Oryctolagus cuniculus: one gene and its partners. The protein of the gene in region 2 interacts with the protein of the main gene of each other region in a biochemical or structural test. Links are inferred from orthologs where the notes say so. Each region holds a gene or a part of one and is shown on either strand. Other genes may lie near its edges.

Region 1 (4,048 bases), on a different chromosome or scaffold from region 2:
TATGGTTTCAAATTTTCCTATTATTTTTTCTTTTATATTTTTGTTAAAATTGGTTCTTTTTTTTCCTAAAATATTTATTCATTTATTTATTCTATTGGCAGAGTGACAGAGAGAGTGAGTCTCCCTCTCTCTGTGTCTCTCTCTCTCTCAGATCTACACACACACACACACCCACACACACAGCAAGAGCAAGAAATATATATAGGGATCTTTCATCCACTAGTTTATTCATCAAATGGTCAAAATATTCAGAGTTGGGCTAGGGCAAAGCCAGGAGCCAGGAATTCATCATGTTTTCCAATGGGTGGCAGGTACCTAAGTCCTTGGGTCATCATCCACTGCATTCCTAGGAACATTAACAGGGAGCTGGATTGGAAGAACAGCAGCTGGAACTTGAACCTACACTTTGATATGAGATGCTAGCATTGTAAGTTGTCGCTTAATATGTTGTGCCACAATGCTAGTTCCATGTAGGTAATTTTTCTATTGATTTGTTTTCCAATTCACTATTTTTTTTTTAAGGTAACAAGTTTTTGGTTTATTTCAAACATGTACATGTAACTTAAGAGTTTGAGGCTTGCTCTCTGGTTTGACTCTCATCTTACAGAACTGTTATACACAGACATCCCTTTTTCATCAGCTATTATGTGTTTTTTTCACCCTGTAATTAATAAAAATTAGCACCTAACTCTCTATTAAACTATTTTTGGATACCTTTCAGGGTTACTGTATTTACTTTTCCTGCTGTCACATTTTGTACCCTAGTGCAAAAAAATAAAAGACCTCCTATTTCAGTGATCCAAAACTTAAGCATAATTAAGTGAACTGTTAATTTATTTTACTTTATCCGCAGAACACAGACCACCATTGGGAAACAAGAAAAAGCACCAAGTAAAAAGCCAATGAAAAAGAGAAAAAAGAAGAGAGCTGCTAATTAAAGCTAACATAGTTGTATATTTGTATATATAACTATTAGATGTATTTATTCAGTGCTAACAACCTGGGTATCATTTATTCACAAATCCCTAAGTTTTATTTTTTTAACATTAAAGTGAATGTTCTAGAGCTTTTTCTCTGAAAATTTTGTCATCTCAAAGCCTTATTCCCCAACCTGTGTATGTGTAAAGTGTAAAAATTGATGAGGAATAAAATAATCTGATAGGCTGCTGTGTGTGTACAAAGAAGAATGATTTTCATCGTACTGGTAAATAAGCACAGATTTATTGTGCAGAAATCGGCAGACTGATCCAGTTGCTTAGGAAAATGGATATTAGAACATTGAGGGTCTGTTTTCCTAAAGTCAACTTTTTAGAGAGTGGCTTTCCACTCCCCACTGTACTGTATAAGCCAGGTAACTTTTCTAAGAAATCTTGAAGTCAGGTTTTTATCTCAAATTAAATTTGACTTATAAAATTTTCCAAATCAATTTATTAATTCTTAATATCCTGACAGCTGGCATCATTAATACTTTTAACAAAACCACTTAAAATTAGCCAAATATCTATGATAGATACATGTACAAAAGATATACAAATTAAAACCATTTAAAAAGTAATAGATACCATAATTTGTTCTTGTCCATAACTTCTGTATTCAGAAATGATTGTAACATTCAAAACCCAAGATAAAAACTGTACACAATATACTTTGAGTGATTTACATCTTAGAAACAAATGCAGTCTTTCACTGTTAGACATTTAGTGTCTCTGGTGGGTTGAGGAGGGAAACACCATGATACTTTGAATTTTTGTACTTTTCTCTTATTGATTGTTGTGCATGCTGTGGTGCTTTGAGGTAGGTCTGGTGAAGGTCCATGAGACAAGGCTTAAGAGTCTCCAGAGTGTATCCAGTCTTTCGTACTAATGATTCAGGCCAGCTTTGTCCCGTGACTGTGTAGAGTGCTAAATGAAATGCTGCTCCAGCAATAACTGATGGCAGATACTTTAGGTATGGGTCAGCATCTATCAAACTTAATTCTCCCAAAAACATTGCTAAACTTTCGACTTTGCAGTTTGCAGGCTGCTGATGTAGAAAGTATTGGGTAAGAAACTGATTTACCGTTGGTGCAGCTAAGTCAAAAGCAAGGACTTTCAAAACTAGATGCTCCATTCTCAGAACTTGTTTCTTTGTATAGGTATCATCTGTAATGTATACAAACTCTGCTACTTCTGGTGGGTATATTTCTTCAAATTTTGAGGCTAGCAGCATAGCAGCAGTGCCCACAAGCTGAAGCTTTCCTCTCAACACAGACATTGAAGAAAGAAACCTATCGATGTAGTTCACCGCCAAATGCAGAGTCTCATTCTGTAGTTTATATTCCTCTCCTACTTCAACTAACCAGTCCACGAGGATAGCCCTCATACTGTTAGTGATGTCAGGCTGTTTCTTCATGTAACCCACTTTAGGTTTACATTTAACCTCCATTTCCCTAAGATATGTGTGAATATCCTCATGGTAGTCTGGGACTTCATTAACACTCACTGGCTTTTCATCTTCTAATACAATTGACATGTCCATAGTATATGGTGACTCGAAACTACCATCCATTGGCTAATCAAGAGGTACCAGTGGTTTTCTTTGTCCAGGTAAAGTGATGGCTGAATTAAAAGCCAGGACATCTTCAGGCTTGTCTTTTTTAGATTCCGTGGGCCTCTTGGGAGGCTCCTCTTCTGCTTCATCCACATGAATGGTGAATGCAGGCTGTTTACTGTTTGCTTTCCAAGGAGGAACAGAGACCTGCTCATCATTTATAGGAAGATCCTTAAGAGGTGCAACCCGTCGCGTCGTGGGCCTCTGTTGTGGAACTGGACCCCGGGAGTTCCCAGCCTTCAGTACCACCAGAGCAGCCTGGGCCCGCGGCTGCTGGGCGTGCACCGCCTTCTCGGGGTTGATGTTCTCCTGGTCCTCTAGGAGCGCCGAGCCCGCCTCGCCGGCCGCGGGCTTCGGCACGTTGTGGCCCAACATCGTTGCTCCAGGGAGCTGGCGGCGGGATCAGTCTGCCGAGCCAAGCAGCGTGCACACTCCGCCCAGTCGACCAGCGGCGCCGATCCCGCCCAGGAACGCTCCAGCCGTAGCCCCTCGCCGCAGCCCGGGCCAGTCTGCCAGCCCTCCCGCTCGCTCCCCTGTCTCCGGAACGCGCAGGATCGAGGAGGTTGCGAGAGGCGCAGGCAAACGCTGCCGGGCGCGGAGGGCAAAAAAAAATCCAATTCACTATTGCTTCCTCTTTCTCTCCCATTCCACTGTTGAGCCCATTCATGGAGTTTTCAAAATATTAGTTATTGAATATTTTATTTCAAAATATATTTTCTTCTTTATATATTCTTTTCTTTGGCTAAAACTTTATGTTTTTTATATTTGTTCCAAGTATATTCATGATTATTGTGGAAGTATTTTTATTGTAGAGTCTACAAAATCCTTGTTAGACAACCCTGAGTGTCAACATCTTTAGATCATGTTTTCTCACTCTAATTGAGAATAGCCTAGTTTTCCTTTTAACATAAGTGATTATTAAAATTAAATTCTTGATATATTAGTGATTAATATTGTGAGACATTTGATCTCATTTAAATATTTGATATGGCAGGATCCTATGACGCTACTCCAATGGGGAAAGGACATCATCTTATTATCAGCAGCTTGGCCTCCATTGACACTGGGGAAGGGGTACTCTTTATAAGTGTGGGGCAGTAGTAGAAGACAAGACTCTCCACTATGTACCTACTAATACTACTCAGGCTGGATGTGGAAGAATTGCCTCATTACTGATCCCCATGTGGCTTCTCTGACACTTTCAGGGGATGGTTTGCCTTGTTACTTTTAAGATTAGCTGAAGTCGTAACTCTGTATTTGGTCTTCTCGGACATCCATCCAGCAGGGAAGGAGAGGGGCACCTCAAAATCTCCATGTCATACCAGGGGATTCCAATTCAATCCCATCAAGGTGGCATGTGCCAATGCCATCTCGCTATTCCAGGTGATCAATTTCAGTTCACAATTGATCATAATGAAAGGACTGAGAGTCAAGGGGAGCACATGGGCAAGTCTAGTAT
Region 2 (4,299 bases):
CCAGAATTGCTCCTTTCACATCAGATTAACTGAAAAGTTTCTGTTAATTTAGTTCCACATGATTTCAAAAGAAGCACTGCTATTTCTCTAACTGACCAGCCCTGGGGCAAGTGTTAGCCCAAAAGGTGCTGTTCCCTTCTTCCCACTCCATAGTTTCAGCTGCTATGCTAGTCAGTTCATTATAAATGCAGACTTCCAAAAGACTCGAAGACTCACCTGGGGCATTTGCTATGGCCAACGGCAGGCCTGGGAGCTGGTGCACCTGGATTCCTGACGTACCCAACGCACTGAGGTTAATGGTCTGAAGGCCTGGCATAGAGGAGAGTTGAGCAGCATTCACAGTGACTGTGCCGGCAGGGATGGAGGCAGCTGAGGCAATGGGTGTAAGGGTGGTGCTGCTGCTGCTGGTCTGCCCCAAGGAAACACCCTGCATCGGGGCCAAGGTGATTGTCTGGGCCTGTGGGTTCTGAACTTGGAGGTTCTGCAGCTGAAGAGTCTGCCAACTGACCTGTCCATTGGGCCCAACGGTTGGTGTCCGGATGATGATGGGACCAGAGTTTGGAACAGCCTGCAGCTGGAGGTTCTGGAGGGTTTCCTGGGAGATGGCCTGGGTTGTAAAGGTCTGTCCTGACAACGGCGCCGCTTGGAGGGCCTGGAGGGCCTGTCCCCCCTGAACTAGCTGAGGCTGGATCAGAATCGGCTGTTGCTGTGTCTGCTGGTTTGGCTCTCCCTCCTTCTGCTGACTTGCCTGCAGGGAGCCTCCAGACGTCTGGTTCTGCTGGATGTTCAGCGCATCAGACCCCTGCAGCCCCCCGACCCTCTGGGGTGTCTGACCTTGAGAGTTGGTCCCTGACGATCCGCTGGTGGTGAAATTCATGATTCCCATGTTGCTGGTGGTAGTCGTCGTGGAGTAGCTGTTAGCATTGGTGAAAAAGGAGCTGGAGCTGGCTTGTGATGACACCAAACTGGCGGAACTGATGGTGGTCGTCCCTGAGGTGACGGGCTGTGAGCCACTCTCCTGGGACCCCGAGCTGCTGATGGTGACTGCCTGAGAGCTGGGAGTCAGGGTAGCTGCAGAAACGCTATTGACAGGTAGCAAGGTGATGTTCCCGTTCAGGGCCACCGGGACGTTGGTCACATACTGAGTCTGTCCTGAGAGCACATTATTGGCCAGACCTTGGAGGGGGACAGCCTGTTGAAGCAGGTTTGGCATAGCAGCGATGATGTTGCCTCCACTTCCTCGGTTTGTGATGATCTGTTGGTTTGCACCTGGTATGATCTGTATCTGACCAGAACCATCCTGCTGCACTTGGGCCCCCGTGGTGGCGAACTGCAGCTGCTGCCCATCGACGGTCTGGAATTGGGGGATTACTTGGTACTGAATGTTGGGCATCACTCCAGGTAATCCTGTCAGAACTTGCTGGTTCTGTAAGTTGGGGGTGGCAGCCACTACATATTGCCCACCAGAGACGGTGCGGTTCTTGGAAGACTCGCTGCCATTGCTGCCATTGGTATTGCTGCCACTCTGTTCCTTTGAGGTAGGGGTAGCCCCAGAGGAGGAGGAGATGATCTGCCAGCCATTGGCACCCTGTGAAAGTTGTGCGGCGGTGAGGTCAAGCTCACCTGTGCCCCCTGACTGGCTGGGGCCCTGGGAGTTGTTGCTGTTCTCATTGGGAGACTCAATTCTGCTGCAAGTTGCTGCCAGCAGAGCCAAAGGGGATGGCTGGGATTCCTGGCCAGAAAGGGGGAGATGAGAGGAGTTAGTGACACCCAGCCACCAGCCTAGGGGGCAGTATACAACAAATAAACAGCAACACAATGAAGATTAAAAAGGGGGGGAAAAAACCAACCCAAAAACAGAAAGGAGGTCCTATCGGTACTGCTGCAAACTACCATCTTTAGCGAATCTAAGTTCCTTGAGTCTCTGCGCTGGCTTCCCCATCTATAAAATGTAATCCTCTCCTAAAACTCTTCTGGGAAGAGTAAGCCAGTTTTCTACGAGTATTTACAACCATCCTCTCAACACCTCCCCGCCCCCAGTTCCGGCTGTCACTCACCTGCCCGCCTCCACCTCCTCCACTGCTGCTGCTGCTGCCCGTGCTGCTGCTCCGAGCCTGAGAAAAGGCACCGCCACCGTTGCCATTGCCCCCATTATTGCCACCAACTCCCTTTTCAATCTTCACCACTGCTGTCATTTCATCCATGGAGTGATCTTGGTCTAAAAAAAGAATGAAAAAGAAAAAACAACTTAGCGTGGGGGAAGGGGAGGAGGGGGTGGATAGAGTGCAGGAGAGTTTACAGAAGGCTATGATGAAACAGCAGTGACTAACAGGAAGTACAAAGAAAATGCATTGGGGCAGGGGGGAACTGCAAGGCACATGTGTCATGAGCCAGGCTCACGGCCACGAAGTTTGGCCTCAGGTTTTCCTTGCACAAAAATTAAACTCAGAAAAAGGTGCTCTGGGAATAGGCCACGCAGGCCCGTACAAAGGGTTTCAAAATAAGAAAACGTGTCCTGGGGGTAGAAAGGAGCAGGACAGGTAAGGCCAAACAACATGTGGGTGGATGGAAAGCTTGCTAAAATTAGGGACAAGAGCGATGGAGGCAAAAAATCCAAGTACAAAATGCACCGAGAGGAGACAGGGGAAAAGGGGGGAAGGAGAAACGGTAAGCGGGAGTGGGGAACCATTGGGGACCACAGGTAAGGGGATAAAGGGGTGCAGGAGTGAGCAATCAGAAGGTTTCGGGGCGGGGAAAGGGCGGGCCCTGGAGGGAAAGGGCGGTTTCGGGGTGAGGGGCGTGGAAAGGGCGGGACGCTGGGGGGGAGGGGAGGTCTACGGAAAGTGGGGGGAGGAGGGCCTAGGGGCAGGCGGCGACCGGAGGGCGGACCAGGGAGGCGGTTGGCCCGGGCGGGGCCTGCCCTGCTCGGGCCGCCCCCGCGGCTCCAGCCCCCCGACGGGAGGAGCCTGAGGCGGGAGGCCGAGTTGTGGGGGGTAAGGCCGTCCCCCCCGTGGCCGGGGCGGGCAGGGGGCGGGCGAGGCCACGCTGCCCCCTCCCCCGGGGCGGGCGGCCCATCCCCCTCCTTCTCGGAGGCCCCGCCACTGCCCCTTCTCCCTCCCTTCCCTCCGCCCCGGGCGGGACCAAGGCCGCCGCCGCCGCCTCCCGCCCGCCCCCCCTCACGGCGGGGACCGCCCGGTCTGCCCTCGCGCGCGCCCCCTCACTCCTCTCCCACCCCTCAGCGTGGAGTGGACTCATCCTTACCGCTCATGGTGGCAGCTGAGGGACGAGCTCAAGGGGGTCCTGTCCGGGGGGGTTGGGGGGGGCCGGGAAAAACGCGGACGCTGACGAGGCAAGCGAACCCGGACCGGACAGGGAGGGGGGGGGTAAGGAGGAGGGAGCAGCGCGCCGCAAGCCCAGCCTGGGCCCCGCCCCTTCAGTGCTGCCCCGCCCAATGAGGGAGGGGGAAAGGAGGGACTTGGAGAAGAAAGGCGGGCAGGCTATCCAATGACAATACTCACTCGCTCCCTGAGGCGTGTAAGACAAAGTTGAATGCCTGGTATCCGCCCAAAAAGGCCGCCCCCTCAATTTTCAAGGCCAATGAAGAATGCAGGAAGTGAAGGTAGGCGGGCGCTAGAGATGATAGGCTTGGAAATAAGCCAGTCAGCCAGCAGGCGGGATCCCTGAGAGGTAGCGATAGGAAGAGCTTCGATAGAAATGACACATCAATGACCAACCACAATCCGGGACGTGCCTGGGCAAAGTCCTGGTGGGAGGAGAGGTAAGAAATAGCCCGGAATGGGCTGGGCTGAAGCTGATCATAGCCAATCAGAAATCAGGCGGGCAGCCAGGAAAGTTATGATTGGGTAAATGCTGAAAAGAGACGGAAGAGGACGCATATTGACGTGAACTAAAAACCAATTAAATTCCGAGTGGGCTCTGTAGGCGGGAACTTAGAGTGGGCAGAGGTGAATTGGCTTCTCCCTCAGTTACTCAGGCCAATGAGGGAGCGAGGTGAGTCTGGCACCGCCTCCAAATTGGGCAATGGGTGTTATTTGGGCCTCCCATCATGAGGGAGGGAACTGGGCTGTGCCAAGAGAAGTCCGTCGCCATGTTGGCCCTCCTCTGGGGACGTCTTTACGGTGATTAGGTGGTACGCGTCAGCAGAGCCCTGCAGCTCAACAAGTGGCAGAACCAGGACACTCGGCGCGTAGTTGTGCCTCGCCCGCGGGGGCTCGTTTTGGTTTTCATATATGGGGGTGGAATAAGGAGGAGGGAAAAGTGCCTCTCACGCCGCTCCCC
Region 3 (3,983 bases), on a different chromosome or scaffold from region 2:
GACAAACAGCAGAGACACTATTAAGATACTCTGGCTTTTTTATTCCCATTCCATTTCCTCTAGCATGGATCACCCAGCAACTCAGAGTTCTCCCAAACTTACAGACAATGTTTTCCCAGATCCGGTCTGAGCTACTCCAACCATATCTAATCCACTTAGAGCAACTGGCCATCCCTGAGCTTGAATAGCAGTGGGTTCAGTAAAGTTCTGCCTTGCAATCACGTCCATGACGTTTGCTGTAATTACAGCATTTTAGTAAACACTTGTAATGCCAACAGAAAGGAGGCAACAGGGGGAGAAGGGTGGTAAGCTGACTGAAAACCAGCACTTACCAGGAAAGTTTGCTTCATAGAAATTCAGAACTGGCTTTGGGCAATTGTGACCTCTAACTGTAACTTCCTTGCTTCTTCTGTATGTCTCCACCTCTTGCTGCAAAACAAATCATAACCACTTTAGTAACTCTTGACAGAGTCCCCTAAGCAAACACAGCTAGCAAACTCTGAACCTACAGGTGAAAATTCAAAGCCACCTCCTCCCCAAGCCAAAAAGAACTCCCCAAATTGAAATGTCCGCCAAGACACTTGTTAGATTTTGATTTCCTAGCTTAGTATTACTCAGGTAATACTGAATGATGATCAAAGCCACATGAAATTACTCACGGCTGTGCGTCTAGCCAAATCAGGATGTTCTTGATAAAAATTCTTCTCAAATTTGGGCAGCTCATCAAGATTCCACTTCTTTTTAACTAGTTTCTCTCCAGGGTTTCCAAATTTCTTTCCAGATAGAGGCCCTGCCCTACTTCCTCCAAATCGAGGCGCACCAAACCTGAAATTAAGAATGTTACATTTCTTCACGTCTGTATTTGGCGTTGGACAGATTTTAGCACTCATCAGCTCCAGTAATTATCCCTGAGAGCAGTCAACAGCATCACTTCCCACAGCCGCAACTATCGAGGCCAAGTACACGGCCCGCGATCGATAAGCTCAGAAACGGGCTGACCAAACTGCAGGATTTCAAGCATACAAGGACAGACAAGTCTGCGGCTACTACAGTCTCCGAGCTAGGGAATGCAGCAGCCGGGAGCCGGCCTATACGAGAAGGGTGGTGCCTAAAACAGCGATGCTACTCTAACGACTGTGTTCGAGCAGAGGCGCTTCCGTGTTAAACACGAACGGTAACGAGGCAGCCACAGCAGGGAGAGCGGCACAGGGAAGGTGTTTCTCCAAGGCACGCCGGGAAACCAATCGAGGTGGGGGAACCCGGCGGAAGAGCTCCCGATCAAGGTAGCAAAATTATATAACGCGAGAAGGAGAAGGAGGAGCCGGTGACTACCGGGGGAGGAGTCCGGGCCCGGGCGGAGTCGCCGGGCGGCGTTCCCGCTGGGGCGGCGCTTCCCCCTTTGTCTCGCATTTCTCTCTGCGCCACATTTTCTCGACGCTGCCATTTTGAGCTCCTCCGCCGGGCGGGGTAACAAAGGCGCCGCCGCCATGTCCGAGGCCGGCATTTTGTGCTCGCGGCTCAGCCACATGGCCGATCCCGAGGGCGCCGGCCGGCCGGCCGCTGCCTCCGCACCGAACCCACGGCTTCGGAGCGGCCCCTCTCCCACAGAACTCCCGGCGCCCCGAAAACACCTCCCCGAAGGCCGTACCTAACGGCGGCTCCCCGCTCCGCCCCGAAGCGCCGCGCTCTCCTCACCCCGCAGGGCGTTCCGCCAAATCCCCCAACAGCCGCCAAATGGCCGCTCCCCACCCCCAGACAAAAAGCGGGCTTCGGAACAGCCAAAACGACAAGCCTCTTCGGGTCACTTCGAAGCGAACGCCAAAATGGCGCAAACCTCCGACCGAGGCCCGAGAGGAGCCCGCGAAGGCCGCGTCGCCGCCCGCCGCCGCCCTCCCATCCCCCCTCTCCGGGCCTGACGGGTCCGCTCCCCGACTCACCCTCGATCGCGACCGCGATCCCGGTCGCTCGAGTATCCCGACATGGCGTCAATGGTTGCGGTTGGCGGGGGACGAAGCTAAGAGAAACGGGTGCGACGAGTCGCTGCAAGAGGCTTCGACGGCGGCGAAGCCTCGCGGGGGCGGCAGCGGCGGAGGAACGGCGGTGACGAGAGCCGGAGCTGCACGACCAGAGGCCGGTGGAAATGAATGAGGTGCCGGCCGCGTCCCGGCAGCCGGTTTTATAGTGCGGACCGCCTCCTCCGCCGCGGAGGCTGCTGGGAGCCGATCTGTGACCTCATCGCCCCGCCCCCCGCGCAGGGGGCCGCAACGCCCACCGGCGTTCTGGAATCCGCCCTGGGGTCCCCGCCGCCCCCGCGGCCGCTCCCTCCCGGGGCGCCCGTTTTTCTCCCGAGTCGTGTCCGGGCCCGCCCACCACAGGGATGCTTCAGCATGCATTTCCTTGACTTCACCTTTTTCTCGTCCTTCTACACCTCCAGCAAGCCTCCCCGCCTTCTCCCTGGACCGACAGGCACATAAAATGGCCAGGACAGGCCAGCCCACTCTCTCCACTCAGAGATGTTTACGTCTCCACAGAGCCCTCACACCCATAACCAAATAAGACGGGAAGGCGGAACCTGGCCTCGTCACGTGACAAGCCCCGCCCCCGGTCTGGGGAGGGGTCGGCACTACTTTCCCCCGCGGGAGTCGGCGGAGGAATACCTAACAAAGTAGTTCCCCGGAAGTCCAGTTCTGCCCCCTCCAGGAGACCGGCCGGGACAGCCGGGTGACCTAAACTGCCCGAGAATCCACCGACCCGAGAATCCTTCAGCAGTCTCCTGCCCGTGGAGAACGGTAGCTGCTGTCCGCAAACCGCCGCCGAGGCGCGTGCTGCGACAGGAAGTGGTCCTCCGAGGGCCAATCAGCGGCGAGAAGCCGTTGTAATGTCCCTCCCTCTTCGACCTGAGCCTCCTGCCTGGCGCCTCGGTTCCTACCGGCCCCGCCCACCTCCGGGTCTCGCCGTGCGACCCTTCCCGGACACCGTCGCCCGCGCGTCGGAGGCGCCTCGGACTGCGGCGCCGCCCTTCCTCCGCGACATGGCCGACTCGGGGGCTGGTGAGTCTCGGCCTGGAGGTCCGGTGTGTGTGGACCGAAGCCCCCCAAGTGCCCGAAGGCGTCGGGCCGGTCTCACCGGGGTGTCGGGGGCCGGCGAGGCTTGTGACTGTCAAGACGCCCCGTCGCCGTTGGGGTTGTCCGGGGTAGGGTCTGTCAGCCCCGCCGCCGGCTCGCTCGCGGCCGCGGAGCCGCGCCGTCGGGGCGGGGAGAGACGGACTGTGGCAGCAGTCGTCTTGCCCTGGGCGCCGAGCCCGCAGGCCGTTTGTGTCGGCCTTTGGAGGAATAGCACTTTCAGCCGCTGTGCCCTTGCTAGCTAGGGTTGGACCAGGGCTGCTCTCTTCTCTTCGGTGCCCTCTGGCGTCGCCGGCTTTGTCGGCCACGGTTTTTTGAGACACGAAATGGATTTCGTGGTCTGGGACGCTACAACGTTTTCTCCAGCGTCTACACAAACAAGTTGCCATGGCTTGGACGGTTGTGAGAGAGGGGCGTGGCGGTACGCCGAGGGTACACACCCCAAGTGCCCCCCTCTGTTTCCAGAACTGAGCAAAATGCTCTCCCATTAACCGCCAGTCATTTCAGGGAACGAGTGATTCAGACTTGGTAAACGACTTTTGGTCGAGCAGCTTTCCTGATCGCAGCAGTATTTGGCGGAGGGGAGCGTGGTAGCGTGCTAGTTCGCAGTGTAGGGGTGTTTCCATGTCTGCCCCGTGCGTTCCTGCGGGTACATTAGATGGAATAAAGGAAAGCTGTTCTTAACAGGCTGAGTTAATCACCACCTGTTTGGGCGCCGGCGAAATCCCGACAGGCGCAAGGTGATTTGGTAAAAACATGATGATTACTACTGGGAATTAGAAGCGGCTCTCATTAGTTTCTAGTGACTTCAGATGCTCATTACCTAGCTGTCTTGTTTATGACAGATGCTCTCCTTAACTT

The links.
Region 1: the proteins of SP1 (region 2) and cyclin-A2 form a complex in vitro, tested with the Homo sapiens proteins (2 studies listed by BioGRID). The link is inferred for Oryctolagus cuniculus from reciprocal best matches to the Homo sapiens genes SP1 and CCNA2.
Region 3: the proteins of SP1 (region 2) and DDX5 form a complex in vitro, tested with the Homo sapiens proteins (2 studies listed by BioGRID). The link is inferred for Oryctolagus cuniculus from reciprocal best matches to the Homo sapiens genes SP1 and DDX5.

Annotation. Positions count from the first base shown.
Region 1 is NC_091435.1:65,355,116-65,359,163, forward strand, and holds cyclin-A2, read right to left. Parts: upstream 2,548-4,048; coding exon 1,690-2,547; 3' UTR 510-1,689; downstream 1-509. UniProt on the Homo sapiens protein: Cyclin which controls both the G1/S and the G2/M transition phases of the cell cycle. Functions through the formation of specific serine/threonine protein kinase holoenzyme complexes with the cyclin-dependent protein kinases CDK1 or CDK2.
Region 2 is NC_091442.1:56,373,469-56,377,767, reverse strand, and holds the start of SP1 (transcription factor Sp1), read right to left. Parts: upstream 2,803-4,299; 5' UTR 2,388-2,802; coding exon 2,058-2,387; intron 1,733-2,057; coding exon 217-1,732; intron 1-216. UniProt on the Homo sapiens protein: Transcription factor that can activate or repress transcription in response to physiological and pathological stimuli.
Region 3 is NC_091448.1:14,226,007-14,229,989, reverse strand, and holds the start of DDX5 (probable ATP-dependent RNA helicase DDX5), read right to left. Parts: upstream 2,810-3,983; 5' UTR 2,408-2,809; intron 2,117-2,407; 5' UTR 1,982-2,116; coding exon 1,938-1,981; intron 826-1,937; coding exon 660-825; intron 430-659; coding exon 333-429; intron 237-332; coding exon 103-236; intron 1-102. Other genes in the region: CEP95 (centrosomal protein of 95 kDa), read left to right, coding at 2,879-3,050. UniProt on the Homo sapiens protein: Involved in the alternative regulation of pre-mRNA splicing; its RNA helicase activity is necessary for increasing tau exon 10 inclusion and occurs in a RBM4-dependent manner. Binds to the tau pre-mRNA in the stem-loop region downstream of exon 10.